Lytechinus pictus: one gene and its partners. The protein of the gene in region 2 purifies or fractionates together with the protein of the main gene of each other region. This does not show direct contact. Links are inferred from orthologs where the notes say so. Each region holds a gene or a part of one and is shown on either strand. Other genes may lie near its edges. The genes, in order: ribonuclease P protein subunit p30-like, ribonuclease P protein subunit p20-like and inhibitor of Bruton tyrosine kinase-like.

Region 1 (8,736 bases), on a different chromosome or scaffold from region 2:
AACCACCTACAGTTGGTGGAGGCCTAAAAACATACTGTACCTGGGACTCGCCTCCTTCAACCTCAGCATTAGTGAAAGGCCTCACTCTTAGATAAACCTTCATCGGTTCCCTATTGTGAGCGACGCTAACCCTGGCAATCTTCATGGGCGTGGCCGACGTGAATTCTGTAAAGAGGTCCTTTTTTATGCTCTCCTGGAAGGCTAGCAGATCTTCCTCCTCTTCAACAACGTCCTCCTCAGTGTCTGAGAAGTTACTGGAGGCTGGGAAATCACTCATGTTGCCGATACTGTCCTTCCCCGTTTCACTATTTTTTAATTGAAAATTAAAAAAGGATACACCTGTATGTCAAATTGCATTTATGTTTGTTCAACTGAATTCAACTATAAAATATAAAGCAATGATATAAATTTAGGCCTTGAAGCCTTAGATCTATTCTGATTTCTGAAAGAATAAATTGTGACAAAAACGAAGCACAAAATCAAAATACGACATTTTCAACATAATTTGACCTGCACATCACTCTCCTTCTTTGCTGTAAGTACAGGTCTGGTATACTTCCATACTCATGTGCAGGTATCTGTAGTTTATGTACAGTGTCTCAATAAAAGGTTCTACAATACTATGTGCAGCTGCATGTACATGTAAAAACAAGACATCTGTGAAAATTAAATAATTTGGATTTTGAGTACATGTACCTCTCTTTCTTTTTTTAAAAAACATAGAAGAGAGGTACAGGAGACAGCGGCCTGTGGTAAAGCATTCCACAGCCTGGCCAGCGGTCGCATCAGGGAAGAAGCTTTTTGTATTGTCTATATCACTCACTTTATGATAGATAACAAAAAGTATTCAAGGGTAAGTCCACACTCACAGAAATTTAAGAGGGAGGGCAAAAAAATACATCATCAAAATTGAATGTCAAATGAAAGAAAGTAAGTTGGTCAAACTTGGGTTTCATGGACACAATTGATAAGAGTCTTGTTGGCATTATCACCCACTTTTAATTCAAAATTGTTTTTAACAAAATATCACCCTAGTTTCATCATTATTTAGTTGTGAGGTTTTCCATCTACATTGGTGATAAAAAAATAAGAACATTTTTTCTGGTTCACTACATTTTACAGGTGCAAAACTGAACAAGTGCCAAATCTCTAACTGTTAACCCTAAAATGGCCGGGGGGGGGGGGGGTTGAATCAACCCCCCCCCTCAACATTTTCTGCGATCATTCCGCCGCGCGAAATTTTTTGACCGCGCCACTAGCAGAGTTTATACTTTTAAGTCTCGCGCATCTTTTGAGACCAAATTTATGACACCCGGGAATTCGGTTCCGAAATTACGCAACATTTTGTAAGTGCATGTCAGACCAAAAATTGTTCAAAAACGTGATTTTGTGTACAAAGTCAATGCAAATTGAGTTTTCTCATCTTATTCATAAAGATATGATTATTTTTACTTTAAACAGCTGAAAGCAATTGATTTTAGCATAATTATGCTTCAAAAAGGTTGTGCAATAAATCTGGTGAAAAAAACAAAGAAAAACAAAAGGTCAAAAAACAAAGAAATACATAAGAAATTCATAAAACAATAAAATACATAAGAAATTGATTTCCAAACCGAAGTTTTTTTCAATTGCCATTGTTAAGAATACTACAAAGAATATTTTTACCAAAAATTAGCATTCTAGGAGCTTTATTTAGTGAATTAGAGCAAAAAGTATGATTTATGCATAAATTAGCATAATTAATTCATATAAAATAAAATCTCATTATTTTGGAAAATTTTACCATACAGCCTTGTAGATTACATCGCACACTACCAGCATGCAAATTTTTGCGGCGCTCGCGCGATCGGTGGCCGAGATCTCAGGGGGGGGGTTGAATCAACCCCCCCCCCCCCCCCCCCCGGCCACAGAACAGCCAAAAAAGCCCGGCCTAGTTAGGGTTAAAGAAGGTTTACCTTTAGAAAGTAAAGGAAAGTTTGTTGTAAAATATCAGAAAACAAATGAGAAAAAATACTGGTAAAGTTTTGATGAAAATCAATAAAAAATTAATGGGACGCAATCCCTGGCTCCGTGGACAGTAAGCATACGTTAGTAAATCATTTTTACACTCTAGGAGCCTCCTAGCTATGGTTAGTCGTGCCTTGATTTTCCCGTGCACAGCGGCATGTAATGAACCCTTGAGTGCCACTAAGCTAATCCTTTTGCAGCAAATGTAAACAAAGGAAATTGGTCTCCCAACTGGAGACTGTCTCGGAAATTGGATACCCAAATTCTTTACAAGTCTGATATTGGAGATAATCTCTCTCATGGGAGACAGTTTCCCATCCCATATGGCATAATTATTGGCCATGCACCTCTACTGCTAACCAAACTGGATTTTAATTTAGTTTTCGGTATTTTTGTAGCGGGACAGCTTTGCAAGACGGCCGGTGGCCGCCCACTGTCTTGCGCTGCCCACGTTCAAAGAAAGACGGAGCCGAGAAATGACAAATTCGAACAAAGAGATAAAGTAAAGTTGTGTATGTGTTTATTCAAAATCCATGTCAAATCAACAAGCTGATATAGTATAATAACGTCCCATCTATGGGCTGGGCGACCGCAATTTGAGTACAATTAAGCCGACATGGCTAACGGCAGCAAAACAAATCGTTAACGAAAAGAACTACCCCGCCCGACCTAGCACACGCCCATTTTATACTTCTTGGCTCAAACACCACGTGGAGAGAAAACCCTTCCCCAAATCGGTCTTATCCCTTTTGGTGCAATGCGCCAAATTAATCTGCCTGTAATATCAATGTATAAAATGTAACTAATTAATGATTCCAAATTCAAGTTCTTCGGCTTTCCATTATTCTTCCCTCTTACGTAACTCTCTCTTCACCACTCCCCCAACTGCTCTCTCGATCAACTTGTCCCCCTCTGCGACTCTCACACTTCAACCACTCCCACTACTACAGCTCTCTCATCCAATCTCTATACTTAATTCTCTCGTTCTACGACTCGTATCTTACAACTCAGTTATCTCTCTCACCTGTTCATTCTCTCTCTCACCCTCTTTCTAGCCGCTAAAGAATGCAAGCGAGCCATAGAACACGAAATGAGCAGAATAGAAAAAAATTCATTGAGCCCCGAAAAATACTAATTCTAAATCCCAGGCAGGCCAGACAGCCTAACAATTAACCAAGCCAGTGTGCATTCTTTTTTACCTTTCTACATAAAACGTGCCAGCTTGACCCAGAATTAAAGCTGACAACAGAAATTTACACATTTTATGGAATGTAAACAGTGCAAGAAAGAACTTGAACTGAACTGAAGCCAGGCAAACAAACTTTTTAGTAAATTTTACCAAAAGGCAAAACTCAGTCTGTTATTGTTAAAACATTATTAAAAAACAAACAAATCTCTATTTTCCACCCCGCTGCAGCTATATTTTCACCATTTCTTTTGTATTTTCTATGCGCTATCAATAGTCTAGACCAAAAGCTTCAGTCTCTGTATTTTGGTTGTTCCGCTGAACTACGTTGGCTCCACTCACCATACATAGACTGAAGGGGACGGGGCCCCGTACCTACAGCCAACGTATAGTGAACTAGCGTTTTATAGATCGCGATTTAAAACTGTTTTTTAAGCAAAATTGAAAGTTTCATGGTTTCCATTATCAGGGAAATATAAATAACTTAAGTAATTGCATACCTTGGGCCGGAGTTATTGAAAAAAATCCTCTGGATGATTGAGAAATCTGTCATCTAAGACATTTTCACCTGACCTGACGGTTTTTCTTGCAAGTTGCCATCTTGAATGACGTCATTATCGTTATTAATGTCTCGAATCGATATATCGCGATTATAACTAGTACTAGTACTAGTATAACTAGTATCGTTTATCTTCGGTTTCGTTCGCATATGGAGCAGATCGTATAATATCGAAAGCAATATCGATATCACATTCGTGATTGTTGACGTTCGTTTGTAAATATTTTATAGTTTGGCTGCCATTTTGACCATTTTTATCGTGTTCAACCCAATTAAACATTGGTAAAGTATATTTTTCATGCCTTTTTCATCTATATCGTTTAAAGTATTTAAACATTGAAATATCAAGTTTTAAAAGTTTGTTGTTTATACATCCTTAGATTGTAAATTCGATGTGTAAAATTACATCAAACTTTGGACTGTGAATTGACAAAAGGGAGGGAATGAGAACACATGCGAGCCCACACGTACACCCTACCGTCGGTAAAACTAAAATCTAAATGGGGATTACAGTAAAATGTCAGAAATTGTTGAATAAATCCCCAGAAACGACGGTTATTCCTGTCTATCAATAGTCACACTTTTGAAATGTAATCATACACAAATTCATCACATTAAGAAAAAAAACCTCGCACAAAAGCATTGCATGAAGAGTGGCCATTTATGATACAATCGTAAGTAAATTATTATGCACACAACTGAATTGGTGATATCATGGTTCCTTGATACGCGTATTCATATAGCACATGAACGACAACACCATCGGCATCGCATTAAGTTTAACAGCATCCCAGGCGAAAATGAATCTGCCACAAACATAAAAACGGTACAACTACAACCAGAAACTACACTTCACTCACCTCACACTATTTGACTTAATTACAAGGCCTTACTTTAATGTTAAAAGATAGATAGTTGAACAAGCTTACCATATAAGATGATATTTAATTTACTAAATGACTTGGACTTACCTGAGGCTGTACTGATGATGTACTTGGTCTTGGCGATTCTTCGAATTTGACCGGTTCGAGCGCTCGCGAAGTACCTTATCCAATCAAAACACGGGGTTGTCATTAATTGCGGCGAGGAGTAACGGGCAAAGTGATTGGTCGATCGCCATCCACGCAATGTAACGTAAACAAACATTATTTACCCACGTGTGCATGTATGGAAGTCGAATTCAATCGAAAACATGACGCAATTTTTTGACCTAAATTTGATAGATAATCGGTTTGACGAGAAGAGAAAACAAAGAGCAATCGCTAGAGCAGCAAGATGTAAGTATTGTGCATAATTTTCTCCTTAAGGCTTAGTCGCGCGCAGGTTATTCTTCCATCAACGCCGGACGCGGACACAACTCAGTCTCAGAGTCAGAGTCAGACTCGGCACGGGGAACTTCCCGCCGAAAGCAGCGGCGGATCTCGTTCGGCTCGCGCTCGTGCACCTGGGCCGGCCTCCATGATGATGTTTTTTAATATTTTGACATATATTCTTCATCATGGAGCCTTGACGCTCTTTCCATAGACGCAGAAGCGAGACCTTGACACCCGGATGGATAGTTACAGGGTGAAATCGGTTTGTAGTATTGTATTTGTAAGTAATTTGTACGAATTAATTTTATTGATATTTGAAGTTTAGTTTAGCTTAATTCCTTACCTTGACTTGAGTTACCTTGAGTTACCTTGATGGCCACATCTCACTGTCTTCATGACGAGGGTGTACAGATGAGTGTGGCAGGGTTAAGGAGCCTTAAATCAATGACAATGCCTAATTAGTAATGCGTATGAAGGTTAAAAAAATTGGTTAATAAAAAAGTGAAAATTTTAAGGTTTCTTACCTGGCCTAGCCTGGAGGCTTCTCGGGAGTAAAATTATTTCTACTTGAATTACTTATGATATCCCTGACTAGAAAGTAATGAAAAGTCTGAATGCAAAGACTATCACAAAGAACTGCATACATAGTCATAATTAATAGCCACGATTGTGTAACAGTGACGTAATTGCAAACACACAAGTAAAGTTATGAAACTTATATTTCAAGCCTAGAAGTAACTGAGTTATTCAGTCGCGTGAACTATGAAGTGGCATGTCTGAGGAATGACTGATATGATAATGATTTGGACTGATTCGAAATTTAGTCTTTAGAATTAGATGTTAAATTGGCGACCCTGCCAAGATTTTGAATCGCCACGGAACCTGATGGATGTGTGCCCAGCCATCGCATTGCCCAATGGTGAGTAGCTGTGTCTTCCTGCCGCAACTTCCCTGTTCGTTTTGACCCCACTTCGCTGTAATAGTAAAACTTTTACGGAGATTTCTTTTGTGACTATATGGTGAGAGAGTACAATAATGGCTACTGGGCAGAATCAAAACATAACAGTGGTTAGTGAAACAAGAAACCTGAAAACTGGTCCATTTACCCACCCGGATAACCAACTTTCGATTGGGAAAGCTTGGGAAGAATGGTTAGAAGACTTAGAAAGAAAATTATTCAGGTATTTCCGGATAGTGAACCCTGTTGACAAAGCTGATGCACTAATCATCTATGGGGGAAAGGATATTGCCAGGTTAGCAAGATCACTCCCAGACCCAATAGAAACGGATGTTAACAATCCAATGAATGAATACCAAAAGCTAAGGAGGAAACTTGATGAGTATTACAAGCCTAAGAAAAACCAGCATCATGCTCGTTACCTGTTCTCGAAAACAAGAATGCAAGAATGGGAAATCACTGCTGCCTATGTTGCTCGTGTTCGGGAAAAAGCTGTAGAGTGTGAATTTGGAAGTTCACTGGAGGAGAGGATCCTAGAGCATTTGATTCAAACCCTTAAGAGCACATCTCTAATTCAGAAGGCAATCAGTAAAGGGTGGAACCTGAACGAATTATTGAGTGAAGCCACGCAGAAAGAAGATGTTTCGCTTCAAGTGGCAGACATGAGTACGCAGGATGTACGTAAAGTTGGAAAGATGTACCCAAAGTCAAACAAGCAGAACCAGAGAGCCTGTTCATTTTGTGGCATGATTGACAAACATCCCCCAGGGAAAGATTGTCCAGCTTATGGGAGGCAGTGTAATAAATGTCGCAAATACAACCACTTCGCCTCAGTGGGTAAATCAAGTTCCAACTCCAAGGTAAAATCAGATGACAAAAAGAAGGCAACAAGTTCTTTCAAGGATGGTAAAGAAAAGAAAGGAAAACACATAAGCTTTGTCAAGAAAACTGCCAAGAAACAGGAAGGAGATACAAGTTCTGATGACGAGTTTATGCAACACTTGAGTACTAAGCAAGCCAAAACAGTTCGAATTTGGAAGATAGGAATCCAGGACAAGCATGTCAGCATAAAAATTGCTAATCTAGATGCCAAGGTTGAAGTAGATAGTGGTTCCGAGGTCAACCTTATGGATGAGCACCAGTTTAAAGCATTATCTAACAGATCCGATAGAGAGTTGAAGTTACATCCCACAGAGGTTAAACTCAGTGCATTGACAACTGAACTTGATGTCAAAGGAAAATTCACAACAACTGTGGAGAATGAAACCTTAGGTATAGAAAAAGAATTTTATGTGATAAGAGGGAAGATAGACAGTGTACCACTACTAGGAAGAGTATCCGCAACCAAACTAGGAATGTTGGAGATAAGACCCAATGGTACTCTGCAAGCCAAGAAAGTTAGCAAGCCACCAGATTCTATGGATGAGATAATCAAGAAGAATGCTCAGGCATTCAAGGGCATTGGAAAGATACATGACAAAAGAAGCAACAAGGATATTTATGCACATTTCCATATGAAAGAAGGAGCAGTGCCAGTTGCTCAAAAGCCACGCCCTGTTCCATACTATCTCCAGAAACTGCTGAAGGAATGGTTAGATCACTGTGTTGCTGAAGACATATTTGAGCCACTACCAGAAGATGAGCCGGTTACATGGTGTTCACCATTGGTGATACAACCAAAGCCAAGGTATAAGGACAAACCAAAAGAGAGTCTTACACAGAACATGATAAGAACAAGCATTGATCTAAGAATACCAAACAAAGAGATGGAAAGGAGCAGGATAAACCAAAATCCTGTGGTAGAGGACTTCATCCACAAGTTTCATGAGTGTAAAGTCTTTTCCAAGTTAGACGAAGAATGGATACCACCAGTTGATGCTCGCACCATAGTCCAGACACATAGCAACTTTCAGCACCCCATGGGGAAACATGAGGCCTAAAAGACTGATCTTTGGAGCAAAATCATCACAAGACCTGTTTGATGAAACAATCACTCGCATCTTTGGAGATATCCCATAATGCCTAAATCAAAGAGATGACATCTTGATAGGAGGTAAAACTCTTGAGGAGCACGATGCAACTCTAGAACAAGTCCTGAAGAGAGCTACAGATTTCAACATCACTTTCAATTCTGACAAGTGTGAGTTTGGAGTAGACCAGCTAGAATTCTATTGCTACCTCTTCACCAAAGATGGACTAAAGCCAACTGAAGAAAAGGTCAGAGCAGTCAAGGAAAGCTCACAACCAAGGTCCAAGGCAGAAGTGAGAAGTGTTCTTGGTGTGATCGGGTATTTATCCAAATTTATACCCAGATATTCTACTCTTACTGCACTGCTGAGTGAACTGACCAAGAAAGATACTAAGTTCGTTTGGGGAGACGAAGAGGAAAATGCGTTCCAGAAACTGAAGCAAAGTATCACAAGTGAAGATACTATCACATACTTTGACCCCAATAAGCCAATCATTCTGAGAACAGAAGCAAGTTTCAATGAAGGCTTATCAGCAGGATTATTCCAGCAAACTGAGAAGGGATTGCAGCCTGTACATTTTGCCAGTAGAAGCATGACACAAGCAGAGAAGAAATATAGCCAAACTGAGAAAGATGCTTTGGCTATAAAATGGGCAAAGAACAGATTCAGAGTGTACCTACTAGGAGCACCAAAGTTCAAGATAGTCACAGCACACAAGCCATTGATTCCAATGTTCAACAAAC
Region 2 (6,995 bases):
TGGCTAAACTACACTGCTTTCGTTTTGTGTGTTTTGTTTTATCTTTTACTATTGCAAGTTAGAAGCAAGTGCTAAAAGATCCTGAAATCCTTATACAAAGATTATGTGAATCACAAAAGTCAACAGGTTAACTCATTGCAACTTTGTCATAATCTTTGCATGAACTCTTGAGCTAATGAGAGCTTTACAAATCATGTACACATATCAAACATGGTGTGGCAAAAACTACTTGATCCCATTTACATAATTTAGAGACATCGATTTTCTGTCTGCCAGTATTAAAATAAAAGTGGAAAACTAGTTTTAGTTATTTAATTTTCATGCAAAATTCACTGAATTTACCTTCACAAAATTGAATTCAAGTTTTTTGCCGTCTACATTTTCTTTCAAGGTTGAAATGGAATTGCAGGTTTTCAGAAATAGAATAGGCTGTTTTTTGTTCAAATGGAAACTAACTGCCCCTAATAATGACTCTTGTTTAATTGTAAATAGGTCTCAAAAATATTTTCTGTTACCATAAATCATAATTCCATAATCAATACTTTAAGAGAATGCAAATTTGTTTTTCTTGCAAATATGTGATCTATCATAGATTTAACCATGGTAACATAATTACCAGAAACTTAAGCAATTTTCACAAAACAAAATATCTATTGCAATCAAAATTGCATGAATTATAATGGCATTATTTCTTATATGCTTCTTTTCATCCAAGAGTTTGAGTATTCTGTACTTTCAGTTTAATTGTTTTCCTTCAAACACAAAATGAGGTGATTGTTTCTCTCATGTGGAATAACCATAAACCAACATTCATATTTTTGAAGAATAAAAGGTTTATTCCTCCATTAACTGTTTTAATTCCCATGAGATCAAATCATCATCTAATATGCTCTGATGTACGTTTCAGTGAAAACCAAAGGTGAGTCAACTGACACTGCTACAAACTTAAATTCTAAAACCAGAGAAAGGAGAGAAAAGATTAGTTCATCATACAACTTTATCATCACCACGGAATGTCTGCATCCTTTCTCAAAAAAGACCTTGGCCATGGTTATAAGTCACATCACTTATTTGGCCCATCCATTTTCTTGCTTTCAGTCCTAAACACTCTAATATGGACAGCAGAGTTGCTTCTCTCCCTCGTATCAAAGTCCCCTTCATCGCAGAGTGGTTCGATGTCGTCCACCAGGTTGACAGTGGAAGTGCTGATGGATATCTGGAGTGTGCCAAGACTTCGGGACTCCAACTGAAGAGCAATGTTTAGTGCTCTGTTGATAGCTGCACCAAGACCATGAATGAACACCTCTTTCTCTCCCCCGTCAAAGAGTTTCTCACACTTTTCCATCTGGCTGGCAAAGTTAGACTTGCGAGTCACGTAGATGTCATTCTTGCGCTTCGGAAGTCTGCGGGGCTGACGCTTCCGGATACTCACCGCCGCTGGATTGACCTTCGGTTTGGCCGACTTGTGAGGGCGGGCTTGGGGGGTAGCCGGCTGTGCATCGCCCGAGGCCATCTTATTTTGAGTTAAACTTTCAATTTTATTTTCCCGAGTGAAACTGTCAAAGGCAGCTCATCCACCGTGAAGGGTTGATATGAAGATAATCTTGTCCTTATTTTGTATCTCGTACTCTAATTCACCCTGGATAAAAGGGATGGTAAAAATAACAGCTTAGAAGAAAGGATAAATGTAAATGGTTATCAGATTTATGGACATTTTAGATAACATATTTATTTTTCTCTTTTCTACATGATGCAATATCTCTATACATTACTGTTCTAAATATCAAATCTAAGTTGATGGCATGAGCAAAACAGACCCTGTTAACACAGTACAGTACTGTGAATATCAAAACAGAACTATATCTATTGATAAAAATAAACTTACAAATCGCAATGTATCACTTACCACTGCAGTACACAAGAAATAATCAACATCAAACACTCTTAAGAGGTTTGACATAGATTTTCCTAAGGCACATACTTTGCTTCATTTTAAGAAGATTGTGTCTTTTGTGTCTTCTTTGTTTGTGCAATCTATGAAATTTGGAAAGGATAACACTTCATAAACAAATTAACACTACTTTCCTAAAATAATGCACACTCTTAGGTTTCCAATTTTCAAAAAAGTAAAAGGTGGTAAAATAAGTCTGCAAAAAAATGTGTTGTCCCAAATGCAGTAAGACTGTAAGTTCCCTTTTAAGTATGAGTGATAAATCATCTATTTATAGGCATTATGTATTTAAAAAGAAAAACACACACAGCTTCCAATTAACATACCAAATCATGCTTGTTTTCAAAGCTGATCAATAATAAAGAATAAAATGTATGTTTGAATGACATCATTAGGTGAGAAGTAAATCTAGAATTCATTTCATAATCATCAACTATGTCTAGCAATGTCTTACCACTAATTCCCAATCAGCATCATTTACAAGGACCAGAATACCAGGTCTCCTGTTCAAAAGAAATGATACAAAATTACAGATTTCACTATTAGAATAGGCAGTTGTCAATCAAAACATGAAACACAATATCAACATAACCCTGTTAAGAAATGCTAGCTTTCATACCCCAACCCACATCTACCGGCAAAGTATGCTGCATGAAATTTACTCTGCAGACAAAAATATTTACCTTTATAACATTCAATAGCCAACTATACAAAAACCTTGTTTGACTGAAGAAAATGAACACTTCCATGTTTACTTTATGCAAAAATGATACATAACAAATGAAAAATATGTCTCAAAAGTTAAAATGAAGGTAAACTTGAAAACAGACCAGGGGGCCGTTTCATAAAGCTGTTAGTAGGTTAAGAGTGACGACTGGTGATCCTTTCTTGTGGTGATATTCACCATTTTGTGATTATTTAGTGCATAAGAAATGTTAACCAGTCGTTCTTAAAGTTGCTCTTAACTTACAAACAGCTTTATGAAACACACACCTGACCTACAAGTAAGATACACTGTAAACATTTTTTGAATTCACATATTACAACACTCAAGAAAAGACCTGTCCATCTGTTTTATACTCCTTTTCTTTTTTTTGTGTTGATAGAAAAAAATTGAAATGCTTACACCGTGTCTCCTTGGATGAATAACTCTGGTCTCTCTTTCAGAAGGTTATCTTTGATCCAAACCAGCAATGTCTTGATTGTCCCTTTGAAAAGAAATAAGAAAATTAGAACAAAATAGTTCTCCATTTTATCTTTAAAATAAAGTGTGTCCTGAAATAAGTAACCTAAATCAATTATGAATAAAGTAATCACACTAATTTGACAACATGAAGAATAATTTTTTTTTCCTTAAGCAAAAGGGAACATACATGTATAATACCAATTTAATAAAAATCAGTATGTTCTGTCTTCAACCATTTTCAAGTATAAGAAAAGACATTTATTGACAATGAATCCCCCAAAATAAATTTAAAAAAAAACTATACCAAAATGAAGTTCAGGAGCGGATCCAAGGTTTTCCAATAGGGGGGAGGGCACTTTCCTGATGAAAATGTGACAAAAAGAAGGGGGGGGGAACACACTTGGGTAAAAACGGCATGTTTACATTAAAAATTTGGATTATGGCTCTCAAAAGGGGTGGGGGGGCGGGCCAGCTGTGCCCCCCCCCCCTAGATCTGCCCATAGAGCTATTAGCTCTATGATCTGCCATTGCTAGATTTAAATATGTTGTAGTAGGAGCAAATATTCTAAAATTTATTCTTATATTCTAACAGAACTTACATTTGTTGTGACTGCAGTTCAAAACAGCATCATGATGCTTGATCTTGTCAAATAATAACTCTGCTCCACCACTGTAAGGATGATATCATTAAAAAAATAATCAATATACAAAAAAATAATCAATATATGTAGGTCTAGATCTACATGTACACGTAGATTTTGAAATAAAAGGGAAACCAACCCTAAGGTCCATTTGTTATGATAAAAGATAAGAAAAGAAAAATTAACACTGAAAATTTCTTAAAAAATAAGAGAGATATCACCTGATATGCGTCTCGTAGCTTGGCGAAGAACAAAAAGAACAAGATGGCGACGTAAACATCGCGGCAAGTTTTCCCTGTCTTTTTATAATTTTTTTTAATGAAATTTTGTTTAAAAATGAAATCAATATCGTATAAATGTCGGAAATAAAGTTGTATCCCATTAGGGCTAGATCTTTTAGAAGGAAAGTAGAAATCTTGGGGGCGAAAATTTCAGTTTTTTTCCCAGTACACGTAAATAGATGGGGCGCAATCCCTGGCTCTGTGGAGAGTAAGCACACGTTAGCGAATGATTTTTACTCTCTGGGTCTAGACCTCCTGGCTAGTGGGTCCTGCATCGTAAGCATCCAGATCGAGATTGGCAGCGGTCGCCGCAGACTCTAGAGGACTCTAATAATATAAATTAATAAATGAAAAACGACACTTCGCCCGGGCAGAGGCGCGGCGTGACGCATAACGCAGACCTCTCTCCCTCCCTTGTTTCAGTTCTCCCGCTGTTCGGAGATCGGCAGGTATCACTGCAGAAGCCAGAAGTTGAGTCAATGAGTCTGGACTCTGGTAAATCGGCCGTTCAGAAATTGCAGAAGTCAACTACTATATATTACTAATACTAAATACTAACTAAAGTAATGTCATGAATATACCTCGAGCGAAGTTCGTGCAGGCTCCACTCCACTCCACTACCGCTACACTACACTCCACCTACCATCAACCTAGACAGCTGGCAGCCGTCTGTTTTGAGGAGTTTTTTAACATTTTTTTTTTAAGTTCTCCTCATACACAGACAGCTCGCTAGCGTGCAGCCACCATTAGGGGACTTGCAATGCAAAATCCCCCCGTCGGGGCTCTTCAATTTTTGTCTTTAATCAATAAAAATTTTGAAAATTAATGCGACCAAAATGCAAATTGATATTCCCTCTTGGCATTAATTGCCAAGAAACGGAGAAAAATCGAGTTAAAAGGAACAAAAACAGTGACTTACCTCGGCTGTCGCGCAAATTCACTTCCCCGTTTTATCCGATCTTAAGTACATAAACATATGGCCATTGAGTCCCCTGTACAGATCGCGCTAGAACTTCGGTCTCTGTATTTGGTGAGTGAAGCCAACGGAGTTCCAACGGAGTTCAGCTGAACAACCAACATAACAGAGACCGAAGCTTTTGGTCTACCATCAACCATGCCTACCCGAAATTCGGGTAGGTGGAGTGTAGTGTAGCGCCTAGCGGTAGTGAGAAGTGGAGTGGAGCCTGCACGAACTTCGCTCGAGGTAGTCATGAATATAGTCTACCGGAGATCTGCCGTAACCCCACGGCTACGTACCGTACGGTACCGCCACCGGGCACCGCCACCGGGGCACCGGTCCGATGGCGATGCGATGCCGATAGAACGGAAACCGTGTTCAAATTTCAAATAGGCAAATATATACACATTTCCACTCGATTTACACGCCGATATGATTCCAAATAAACCGGAAATAAAATAAAAAACATAATCACAACCATTGTTTAAATATTTTGCCTTAAAATTAGTGATATTACCTGAATTCAAGCTTCACGTGAATTTCACCAGTGGGCGCTGCCATATTTAATTTACAGGTACGGTAGCTATAATACTGCAAAGTCTAGATCTAGACAATCTCTCTTTTTTCACACTACACTGTAAATCAAGCACTGTCCCCGGGATGTGAACTTGTTTTTCATACTCACTTTTAAAAACCCTTTTCTTGTGTAATATACTATTACTAAGGCAGATATTTCCATTTATTTCAAAATCTCATTAAAAAAAACAGAATGGAAAAGTAATTTTAGGAACATTCTGAATCTGACCAAGACGTTTGTCTGAAATCCTTATGTCATTTTACTTAGCAGCAATTTAATTTTTCGTGTTATGTTTATATTGTAAGTTAGTTTGAGTAGCATCACTTAATTTCAGCAACTTGAATACAATTTGTGCAGCAAGGTCTCTGCCAATTCAAAAAACAAGAAAGGATTCATCATGGGTATTTTTCGTAGGCGAATTGGGTTATAGAGTAAGGTGATGTAACACAAAAATATTCTTAGCCGCGCCTTTAAATGTGTGGGCCTAAATCAATTATGAAGAGAACTGTCATCACATATCCTTTGATAAGACAATAGTTCAAATTTACCGTATCAAGTGGGTAGCCGTGGGTAGGCCCCACTTTTGGCCGAAAGTTGTACACAAATATTATGTGACACCCCCTCCCCAGTCCTCCCCAGTGCGTGAGGATTAAAATAGGACAACTGGGCCCGTCTTACAAAGAATTGCGATTGATCCGATTAAAATTTTTAATATCAACTGTATGGAGATCCATCAATGTCATATTTTTTCCTGCAGGAATTATATATAATAGGTATATAAACTGTAAAGAAGAGAAGCTCACTGAATTTCAAGAAAATGATAAATATATGAATTCATATCTAGAAAATATTTTGGAAAAAACCCATGCATTTCAGATTTTGACGTTGCTGGCTTTCCATAGTTGTTGTGGTGTCTTTATATCGTATTTTTTTCCATTTTGTTTTACTTAACAAGACTTGAGAAATCGTCTTTTCTTTGTGGGTGAGCATAACCAGTTAAATCAAGATAGTAGAAAAAAGAGAAAAGGGACATGGCAAGAGAGAGTTAGTAAAGATTCCCCCCAAGCACTCACGATTAATAATAAAAAACAACATAATTAGTGAGCAACATGAGAAATAGGACATTTCAACCAGTAATTAACGGGGTCTTTACATGTTAATGCAGGATCTGACCATATACAGGTGGATAAAATAAGCTCCTCTGTGGATGAGGCCCATCAAATTCGGGATTTTTTTATATCTTTAAACCATTTCTGGTCTTCTTTATTTACATATAAAACAAAAAATAAGGTACATGTAATTCAATATCCCTTTTCAAATGAACCCACCCCCCCCCACTGTTATACAGTAATTTGAATTGACATCAAAATTATAAGGGGGAATAAACAGATTCGGGATTTG
Region 3 (8,504 bases), on a different chromosome or scaffold from region 2:
ATACACAAATGAAATTAAGCGGGTAAAATAAAATAATAATGTATTCATTGCTTGAGCAGTTCAAGTTGATCTTGTTGTTACTTTATCATGACAACATATCCTTCACACTTTTATTCTTTATATTTTTTTATAGTTACGGTAGAACAATATAAAGAATCTAACAAGTGAGGATTTAAAAAAGCCCTTTACCTGTTTGATACTGTGATTGTCTGCAGCTAGAGAATCCACCAGCTCGGGTTGATCTCTGCTGCGCTGTCTGCCATGCCCGAGGTTAAAGTTCGAGTTGGTTCCCCATGAATAAGCCTGGGTAGGATCGACAGGGTCAAAGGTCACATAAGCTGGTTTGTCTTTCATTACCAACTCCAACGGGGTCAGCTCATCCTTGTCATATCGCTTCAATGATGCTCCATGCTAAGAATAGAGATTGTGGTGTAATAAACCATATGTTAGAAATGAGTTCAAAAAAATAAATACAAAAAATGACCAAGTACAGACTCATGTGATATAATCCATAATAAGTGTGGGGTACTCGTTCAAACAATGCTTTTTGAACCAGATGCTTGAGTATTATTTTCTATTACTCTATCAAGTTCAATGGTCTAGACAATATCAAGAACATTGTGTGATTACTGCAAGAATTAAAAGAAGAATCACATTCGCTGTATTTGTTTTTTATACTAATCTTGAGAGCACAAGGATTGCCATTTTTTTCAATTAAAGATGTATTTCAGAGACTTCATTAAAAAAAAATCACTGGCAAATCTTTAAAATGAAACCAGTTACAATAAGAATGTCTTCAAAGTATGCACTTATGTCCATAGAAATGTATGTCCTCAGGGTGTTTAAAAAAAAGTAAAGAGAGACTTAATGTCCATGTGTGTCCACAGAAACAATCAGATCATAAGAAAACATTTGCTCCTGGTACTCATCAACAAATTAAAAAATACCATACTGCTTTGGCACTTTACATTCAAATCAAACTTAGATTAAACTAACTCACCCGTATTAGACTGATAGCACATGAGATCTGTCCAAAGAACAGACTCCTATGCAGCGGGGTCCAGCCAGACTCCTTGTCCCTTACACGACAATCTGCTCCTTTGGCCAGAAGCCATTCCACAATCTCCAACTTTCCACAGGAGGCTGCAACATGAAGCAGATTCCTTCCGCTGAAGTCAGAGACAAAGAATGGATTGAGGCAGTGGGAGAGGATGAAGGTCTGGATCTGATGAGTGGTTCCACAGGTGATGACCGCAGTCATGTCCCGGCCATGCTCCTGGGAACGACATCGAGGAGTGCACTCCCATTCAAGGAGATGCTCCATTGGTGATTATGTTCTGGAAAACAGCAATGTCCTGAGTCTTGTTGGTGAAACTATGAGCAGGAAGATAGGTTGTTACCTTATATTAGATCCCTCACACTTCTCAAAAAGCTATACCTCTCTTGTCTAAATCAGTCAACAAAGATGTTTATCAATGGTTGCTGAATCACAAAGGAATGCTTTCAAAGATCCACCTGAACCAATGTTAATGATCAGACTGAATGGAAACTTGGTGTGTGAACTTTAATCCAATCTTGCAGATACTTAGACATGCTAGTTAACCCTCGGGCCTTGGATATTCTCAAGATTCTATGGTCAATGCTCAGGGCTTGAAACTATTCAGATACTCTGGTCAACCCACAAGGCTTGACGATACTCAGATTCTATGGTCAATCCTTAGGACTTGAAGCTACTCAAAAGACTTTCTGGTCAACCCTCAGTACATGGTGATTCTCAGATACTCTTGTCGACCCTCAAAGCTTGGAGATCTATACTCAGATACTCTGGCCAACCCTAAAGGCTTGACGATACTCCGATTCTTTGGTCAATCCTCAGAGCTTGAAGACTCTCGGATACTCTAGTCAACCCTCAGGGCTGCTACTCACAGCCCCACAGCCACTAGGGCCATGGTGACTAGAGCTCAGTCAAGCACACATAATGGTCAATCAGTCGGCCTGCATGTAATAGGGGGAAAAAAGTACCACAAAAAACTAGAATTTCAAAGCGTTCTCAATGCCAATGCCTACAGTGTCAGATTAATTATTTCCCAAGTCAAGAAATACAAAATATGAGCATCCATGATTCTTTTTAAAAATGTATTGAACTGTGTTTTAATGCTTATTTTGAGTATATAAAAATATAAACCTTTGTATTTTTCACAAGATGTACATAGTGTAATAACACCAACAGAAATTTCCGGAAATTTATCCTTCAGACCCAAAGAAATGTTTCTTTCAAAAGAAATTACATATATAATCATTTTATTGGTAGATTTACAATGAAATAAAAATGACTACTTCCTTATTCGGAGCGACAGCATTGTCTGTCACTGTTGACATGCTCGCTGAAACTTAGTCAGGCTCCACTGGCAAAAATTAAAATCAGGTCTTAGGATGCCAGTCATGCCAGTATAGAAACAAAAACACAAAAGCTTCAAAAGCAAAAACTCCTATATGAGTAAAAAAAAAATGATTGATTTAAATTAAAAGTTAAATCTCAAGAATAAGATTTTGCAAATATCAATGGTCTTTTCCATTTTTAAAATTAAAAAAGCATGATGAACTTGATTCTCATCACATCCCTCTTTGCACATGCAATATTTTTAAACTTAAATTGGAAATGGTAACATCATCACCTAAAGTGTGTCTTCTTTGCCTGTGGCAGGGAAAGAGAAAAGAAAATCACCACTTTTGAAATCAAACTCCTCAAATACAATTGCTCAAACTTCCCCAAATTTAATGCAAAATGAAAATTAATGCAAATGATTGCAAATTAAAAATCAAAACAAAAGGACATTCATTATGGCATTGTCATTGAGACCAGTTCACATACCATCCCAAAATATCAAATAAGGCCATTAATTATCGATGACATATGCGTGGGAACTTCGCTAACTCAACTGCTCAAATTGCGCAATTATGTTGCAATTTGAAACTGATGCGTACCAACCCAAGGTCGCTATTCCCCACTAAATGTACAGCTTATAAGTGCAGACTGTGCACAGCGATAACATAGGATAAGAAGATCCGAGATAACTTACCGCCGTTTAAAAAATAAAAGGGAAAAAAAGGTTATGTTTAAGTTTTTGAAAATGCAAATATAAAAGAAAAACTGAAAATACCTTCTTTATTTTACGATCACGATGGCAAAGAAGTGGAAAAGCTCTGGATTTGCAAAAACAAGTTGAAAACAAGGATCCATTTTCGTCCGGCAAGTCAGATAAATTGAAGAAAAGATGACACGTAACTTTTCGCCAGCCAGATATATAGATAAGTTAAGAGGTCAAAGGTTACCAGCTGATCTGGGGATGGGATGGGCGCTGCCCATTGTTTCCAGAGTCACAGAATGATCCAAAACCCCTCCAAAACAAATCTTCCGAACCTGAATCCCAAATTTCCCGAAATTCATAGACATTTCCTGGAATTTTCAAGTTTGATTTTGAACAAATCTCGGACAATGATACAGCAGCAACTTTACACTTAGTCCAAGGGACCAAAATCAAGGAATTTAACCTTTTTTTTTTTCTTCACGTGCATGCGCCCTTTTTAAAAATAGGAACAAAATTATGAAATGCGAGCGCGGAGGGCGAGCATAAAATTTTGAGCTATCTATGAGACAAACAAGTCTTTAAATATAGCATGAATATTGAAATTTATTACGTTTAATTGTTGCTTGATTGTAATTTTTGGATTTCCCGAAATTACCTGGAATTTTTCCATCAGTACCCGGACCTGAAAATGCATGATCTGGAAGTTCTCGGAATTCGGGTAATTTCCTTCAAAGTGTGAACTGTTACAGAAAGTGCAAGTCTCTCAAGAAGCAAAATTAAACTTTGTAATGTAAAAATGCCATTAAAACAGAGGTGTGCCCCCTCTTTTGAAATTGAAGACCTTTTTTTTTTGCTTGTCAATTTTTTTCGGGTACAAAATATCCTTAATTTGTGGTTGAAAACATTTTTTTTTGCTTGTCAAAATTTTCCTCCGAAAAAATTGCCCCCCCCCCCTTTTGGGAAATCCTGGATCTGCCCCTGTCTCAAGCCGCATGTTTATTTGGTTGAAAATCAAGTTACGATTGATATTTTTAAAGTTTTGTTTGAATGATTGCAATTAATCCTCTCAGCAATTTCTCATGACATAATAACCCAGGCAAATCCATTTTAGGACCTCGTGTAAAGTTGAAATTTAAATTTAAATTCATTTATTTGTCATCTCCTAAAAACAGAATACATAGTGAATTACTTCAATAAAATAAAACAACAATGGCAGTTGTACAATAATTGACAAGAAACATATAAAGTAATGAATGGGTTGTGAGGGAGTAACAAAAAGCCATTTGTTGGCCTATTAAAAAGTGTCAATGTTAATAAATTCGAGTAGCCCAGCCCTCGGTCGATCCCCTGAACTGTATAATTTATTTATGTAGAGAGATACGTATCCCCTGGGGCACATATCCAATCATGAGATCTTTTTAAAGTGTCTGGTTTGTAAGAATAAGTTATCTGTACTTGAACAGTTTTTACAACTACCCCAAACGCCCCCCCCCCCCTCGGATTCGAGCGAAAATATGGAAGAAAATGTTTTTGTCGGGCGCGAAGATAGCTGTTTATTATATACAGACTTTACAATGATATACAGACCTGAAAATGAGACATATTTTAAAGGACCATTTGCATAACTTGGATTACCAAACGATTTGAGCCCGACGCGTGAGCTGAATCTCTTTTTACAGATAATATATTCAGACATGAAAAGGGCCGGACAGTTTTAACACTTTATATGATGCATATATCACAAAATAAAAATAATGGAAACTTCAAGTGCCGTAGGCCTATTATTTTGGTTATTTTGGTTTCAGACATGAAAGGGACAGTTTTAACACTTTATATATCGATCGATGCATATATCACAAAATAAAAATAATGGAAACTTCAAGTGCCGTAGGCCTATTATTTTGGTTATAAGGGCCTAATTACTTGAAAACGGGATATCTTAAGCGCCATACAACGCCGGTTGAAGAGATGATGTATCTCATTGCTATCGAGAACCTATTTTCCAATTCTATCAGTTCCCTTATTTTACTCACTCCTCATTTGATTTTTCTCCTCTTATTTTACTGCCTAATATTTTTCTCTCCTCTCCTTCTTTATTCTCTTTATCCTCTCCCCCTCCCACTTTCCCCCTTTCAATGCTGTCGAAAGGGGCCGGGGTCGCAGCCGCTTCAGCCCCCCTGGATCCGCCTATGGTATTTTTTCCCCACTAACGACGAGGCCTGTATGTGTGCGTGAAACGGAAAGGTCAATAAATATTATATCACACAAATGTGATATGAGTATTTCGATTTTCATTTGGACTACTAAGTTTGGAGAAAGTTATGCGTGCAAAGGGGGAAAGCGAAAGATACATAAATCAGTGGCGTTAGTGAGCTCCCCCCCCCCCCCCCAAAAAAAAAAGAGGGGGTCAGATGTGGCGAATGGAGCAAAATTTCACACTTACATGGCTATATGATTTTCACCTTTAATAAACCCTTTTAACAAAATTAGAAAATTTATAATATATGGGGTAGCTGCTCGCATAATATGACGTCACAAATAAAAACTTCACAATTGTCATAATAATGGATTTCTATATAGCTGCCAAACCTTCACCGATATTTTTATTTTTATTTTATTATTATTTATTTTTTTATAGATTTTTCTTTCAGCCTGGGGAGCATTTCATCAACATTTTTGTCTGACAAGTTGTCAGATCTGACATCATTCCTTGATTCTGATTGGCTGAGAAGCACTGTTACTATGGTAACTGTCGGATAAACCAGGACGTGTCGGATGAAACGTCCGACAAGTTCTTTCGTGAAAAGCTCCCCTGATGTTGCCATCATAAAACGACGAAGAGTGGCCCATAAATGCCACAAAATAAATAATACCAACTTATTGCTTATAGAGATAACACCTTTTGAAATGTAAAATGACCGACTTCTCTCAATGACATGGAATTTCCCCCAAAATATATGAATTGAATCATTTTGTTCAGGGGCTAAAAAAAAAGCTTCGAAGTCCTCCGTTTTTTGAGAACTATAAAGCCGTTGAAAGAGACTCACGTTCAAATCCAATTTCTGCGCACTAAAGCGTAAATCCTAAAAACAATCATGTAAGTGATTTGATTAAATGCAAATTCATAGTTGCTTTAAAAATAATGCAACCTTTTTGCAATGCCTATTTTGCTCAATTTTGTTCGGACTTTCTTTGTAATTGAACGCATGAAAATTTTGAAAACGAAAAAAAAGGGTCTTCACTCCCAAATCTAAATCATTTTGTTCCATGAACAATAAGACAAGAAAAAAAAAAGAAGATCCTCGCGCCAATGCAAGACATATTCCACTAGAAATTATTTCTTGTTCCTTTCAAGGGGGGCAGTGGCCAGATGTTCCCCCCTCTGGATTCGCCACTGTCCCACCCCTATACCCTCTCTTTTAAGATCCTCTCATAAATCCCCTCTTCGTGATTTCTTCTCTCTTTTGACTCCTTCAATCTCATTATCTCTTGACTCTTCCTATCCATCTCTCTCCCCTCCCTTCTTCATTCTTTCTCTCCCATCGATCTTATTCTCCCCTCACTCTTCAAATCAGCGGCACAATGAGCCAACAACCAACATTGAGGGGGCTAGACATGACAGAGGGAGAAAAAGTTCTTGAAAAGGTGCGAGAAAGAGAAGTAAGAGGGCAATCAGGGGCGGCGATCCGGGGGGGGGGGGAGCACAGTGCCCCACACTTTTTGAAGCACTGAAAAAGTGCCCCTTTTTAGCAAGAAAACTTTAGAAAAGTGCCCCCTCACGAACGTGTACAGTGCCTCTTTCATCGGAAGAGGACCCGTTTTAGGTGTTTCCAAGTGCCATTTTTTTTCGTATATAAGTGCCAATTTTTACCCCAAAATGCTTTCCCCCCTCATGAACGTGTACTGTGCCCTTTTCACCTGAAAAAGACCCGTTTTTATGTGTTAGCAAGTGCCATATCTCGTATCAGTGCCAAATTTTACCAAAAAAATCACCCCTTACGTTTGTGTTCTGTGCCCCTTTCACCTGAGGACCCGTTTCATGTCTGAGCAAGTGCCATTTTGCCATCTTATAGGTGGCCTTTCTCGTATCAGTGCCCCTTTTTACCTAAGAAAAGTGCCCCCACGAACGTGTTCTGTGCCCCTTTGACCTGTTTTGTGTGTTAACGAGTGCCCATTTGCCTTGTAATAGGTGCCTGTTCTTCATATCAAGTTGTACTGAAAAAAACACTATTTTCGTGCCCGATGAGCGCCCGGTTTCTCTATTTAGCGCCGTTCTGCTTCCTTCTGCAAGTGCATAATGGATGAAAAAAACTTATAAAAATAATCCCACGTGAGTGGGGTAGAGAAGTCCCTTTTCATTGTTTTAAGATCATGGCCGTACGCAGCAGGGGGGGGGATTGCCCCTAGCTCCCCCCCCCCAAACTTTTTTTTTGAAAACTCACATTTTTTTACTGCAGATTTTCACAAAATTCGCCAAAAATATGCACAAAATCCAACTTAACAAAATGCAAACGCGCCTCAATGATAAGCTCGGTCGCTTCACTCCCTCACTTTCCTAACAAGATTACGCTTGCTACCCCCCCCCCCCAGCTAAAATTTTCTGCATATGGCCATGTTTAAGATAGTGCCCTTTTTGAAAATTTTCTGTGTGTCTCCCTTTCAACTTTGCTCTGCCGCCCCCTGAGGGCAATAATAATAATTTAATGGTTTGGATAGGATTTTACATTCAGAAAATATATTTCATATTCCAGGAGCGGCGGAAAGTATTTTCGTTTGGTGCGGATGGGGGGGGGGGGGGGGGGGCAAAGACTAAAAGGGAACTTATTATATGTCGAAATGGACATTTGAGTGCAGATATTTTCATCATCAGATTACATTTGTGCCTTCAGTACTAAGTTGAGCAAACCCTTTTCAAAAAGAGATTTGAAATATACACTTAGGCTTTATTCATTCCGCGAGCGAGCGGTTATGAAAAAAAATGAGTTGTAAAACTCTCTGTGGTCAATTCTGGCACTAATTAAGGCTACGACTGAAATGTCATTCTTCCACTTGAAGTGATTTTGTTATTTGTTAAACGATTTGTTATATAGAAAGTGAATGTAACTATGCAGGATCAGATTAAGCTTTTGCCAAAAGGGGGCGGGCGGGCCAAAAATATCTCTATCGACATTTTGCCCGATCGGCCGCTGAAAGGCTATTTGTTGTTGTTGGTCCTTCAAAAAGGTATTCCTTAAAAGTTTTGAGTACATCTTAGTTATACTCTCCAAACTTATCTTAACAATGTTATAAGGCCTAAATAAATATTGCGAGCGCGAGCTCAAATCTTTGCAAGGACATTTCATGTATTTAGTAGGAAATCATTTTTTGTAACCATGAAAGAGATGTGTATCTAACTATATAGGACTAACGCGAGCG

The links.
Region 1: the proteins of ribonuclease P protein subunit p20-like (region 2) and ribonuclease P protein subunit p30-like purify together in Homo sapiens (co-immunoprecipitation; 4 studies listed by BioGRID and IntAct, counting the BioPlex papers as one, with this or other methods). This does not show direct contact. The link is inferred for Lytechinus pictus from reciprocal best matches to the Homo sapiens genes POP7 and RPP30.
Region 3: the proteins of ribonuclease P protein subunit p20-like (region 2) and inhibitor of Bruton tyrosine kinase-like purify together in Homo sapiens (affinity purification with mass spectrometry; 3 studies listed by BioGRID and IntAct, with this or other methods). This does not show direct contact. The link is inferred for Lytechinus pictus from reciprocal best matches to the Homo sapiens genes POP7 and IBTK.

What each region holds. Positions count from the first base shown.
Region 1 is NC_087256.1:15,071,115-15,079,850, reverse strand, and holds the start of ribonuclease P protein subunit p30-like, read left to right. Parts: upstream 1-4,870; 5' UTR 4,871-4,944; coding exon 4,945-5,029; exon of another isoform or gene 5,030-5,114; intron 5,115-8,736. Other genes in the region: kinesin-like protein KIF20B, read right to left, coding at 41-277. UniProt on the Homo sapiens protein: Component of ribonuclease P, a ribonucleoprotein complex that generates mature tRNA molecules by cleaving their 5'-ends. Also a component of the MRP ribonuclease complex, which cleaves pre-rRNA sequences.
Region 2 is NC_087259.1:13,426,777-13,433,771, reverse strand, and holds ribonuclease P protein subunit p20-like, read right to left. Parts: upstream 1,514-6,995; coding exon 1,064-1,513; downstream 1-1,063. Other genes in the region: ubiquitin-related modifier 1-like, read right to left, coding at 1,571-1,639, 2,406-2,454, 3,078-3,159, 3,737-3,807, 5,535-5,578. UniProt on the Homo sapiens protein: Component of ribonuclease P, a ribonucleoprotein complex that generates mature tRNA molecules by cleaving their 5'-ends. Also a component of the MRP ribonuclease complex, which cleaves pre-rRNA sequences.
Region 3 is NC_087248.1:19,338,498-19,347,001, reverse strand, and holds the start of inhibitor of Bruton tyrosine kinase-like, read right to left. Parts: upstream 3,315-8,504; 5' UTR 3,162-3,314; intron 1,996-3,161; 5' UTR 1,325-1,995; coding exon 1,001-1,324; intron 412-1,000; coding exon 190-411; intron 1-189. UniProt on the Homo sapiens protein: Acts as an inhibitor of BTK tyrosine kinase activity, thereby playing a role in B-cell development. Down-regulates BTK kinase activity, leading to interference with BTK-mediated calcium mobilization and NF-kappa-B-driven transcription.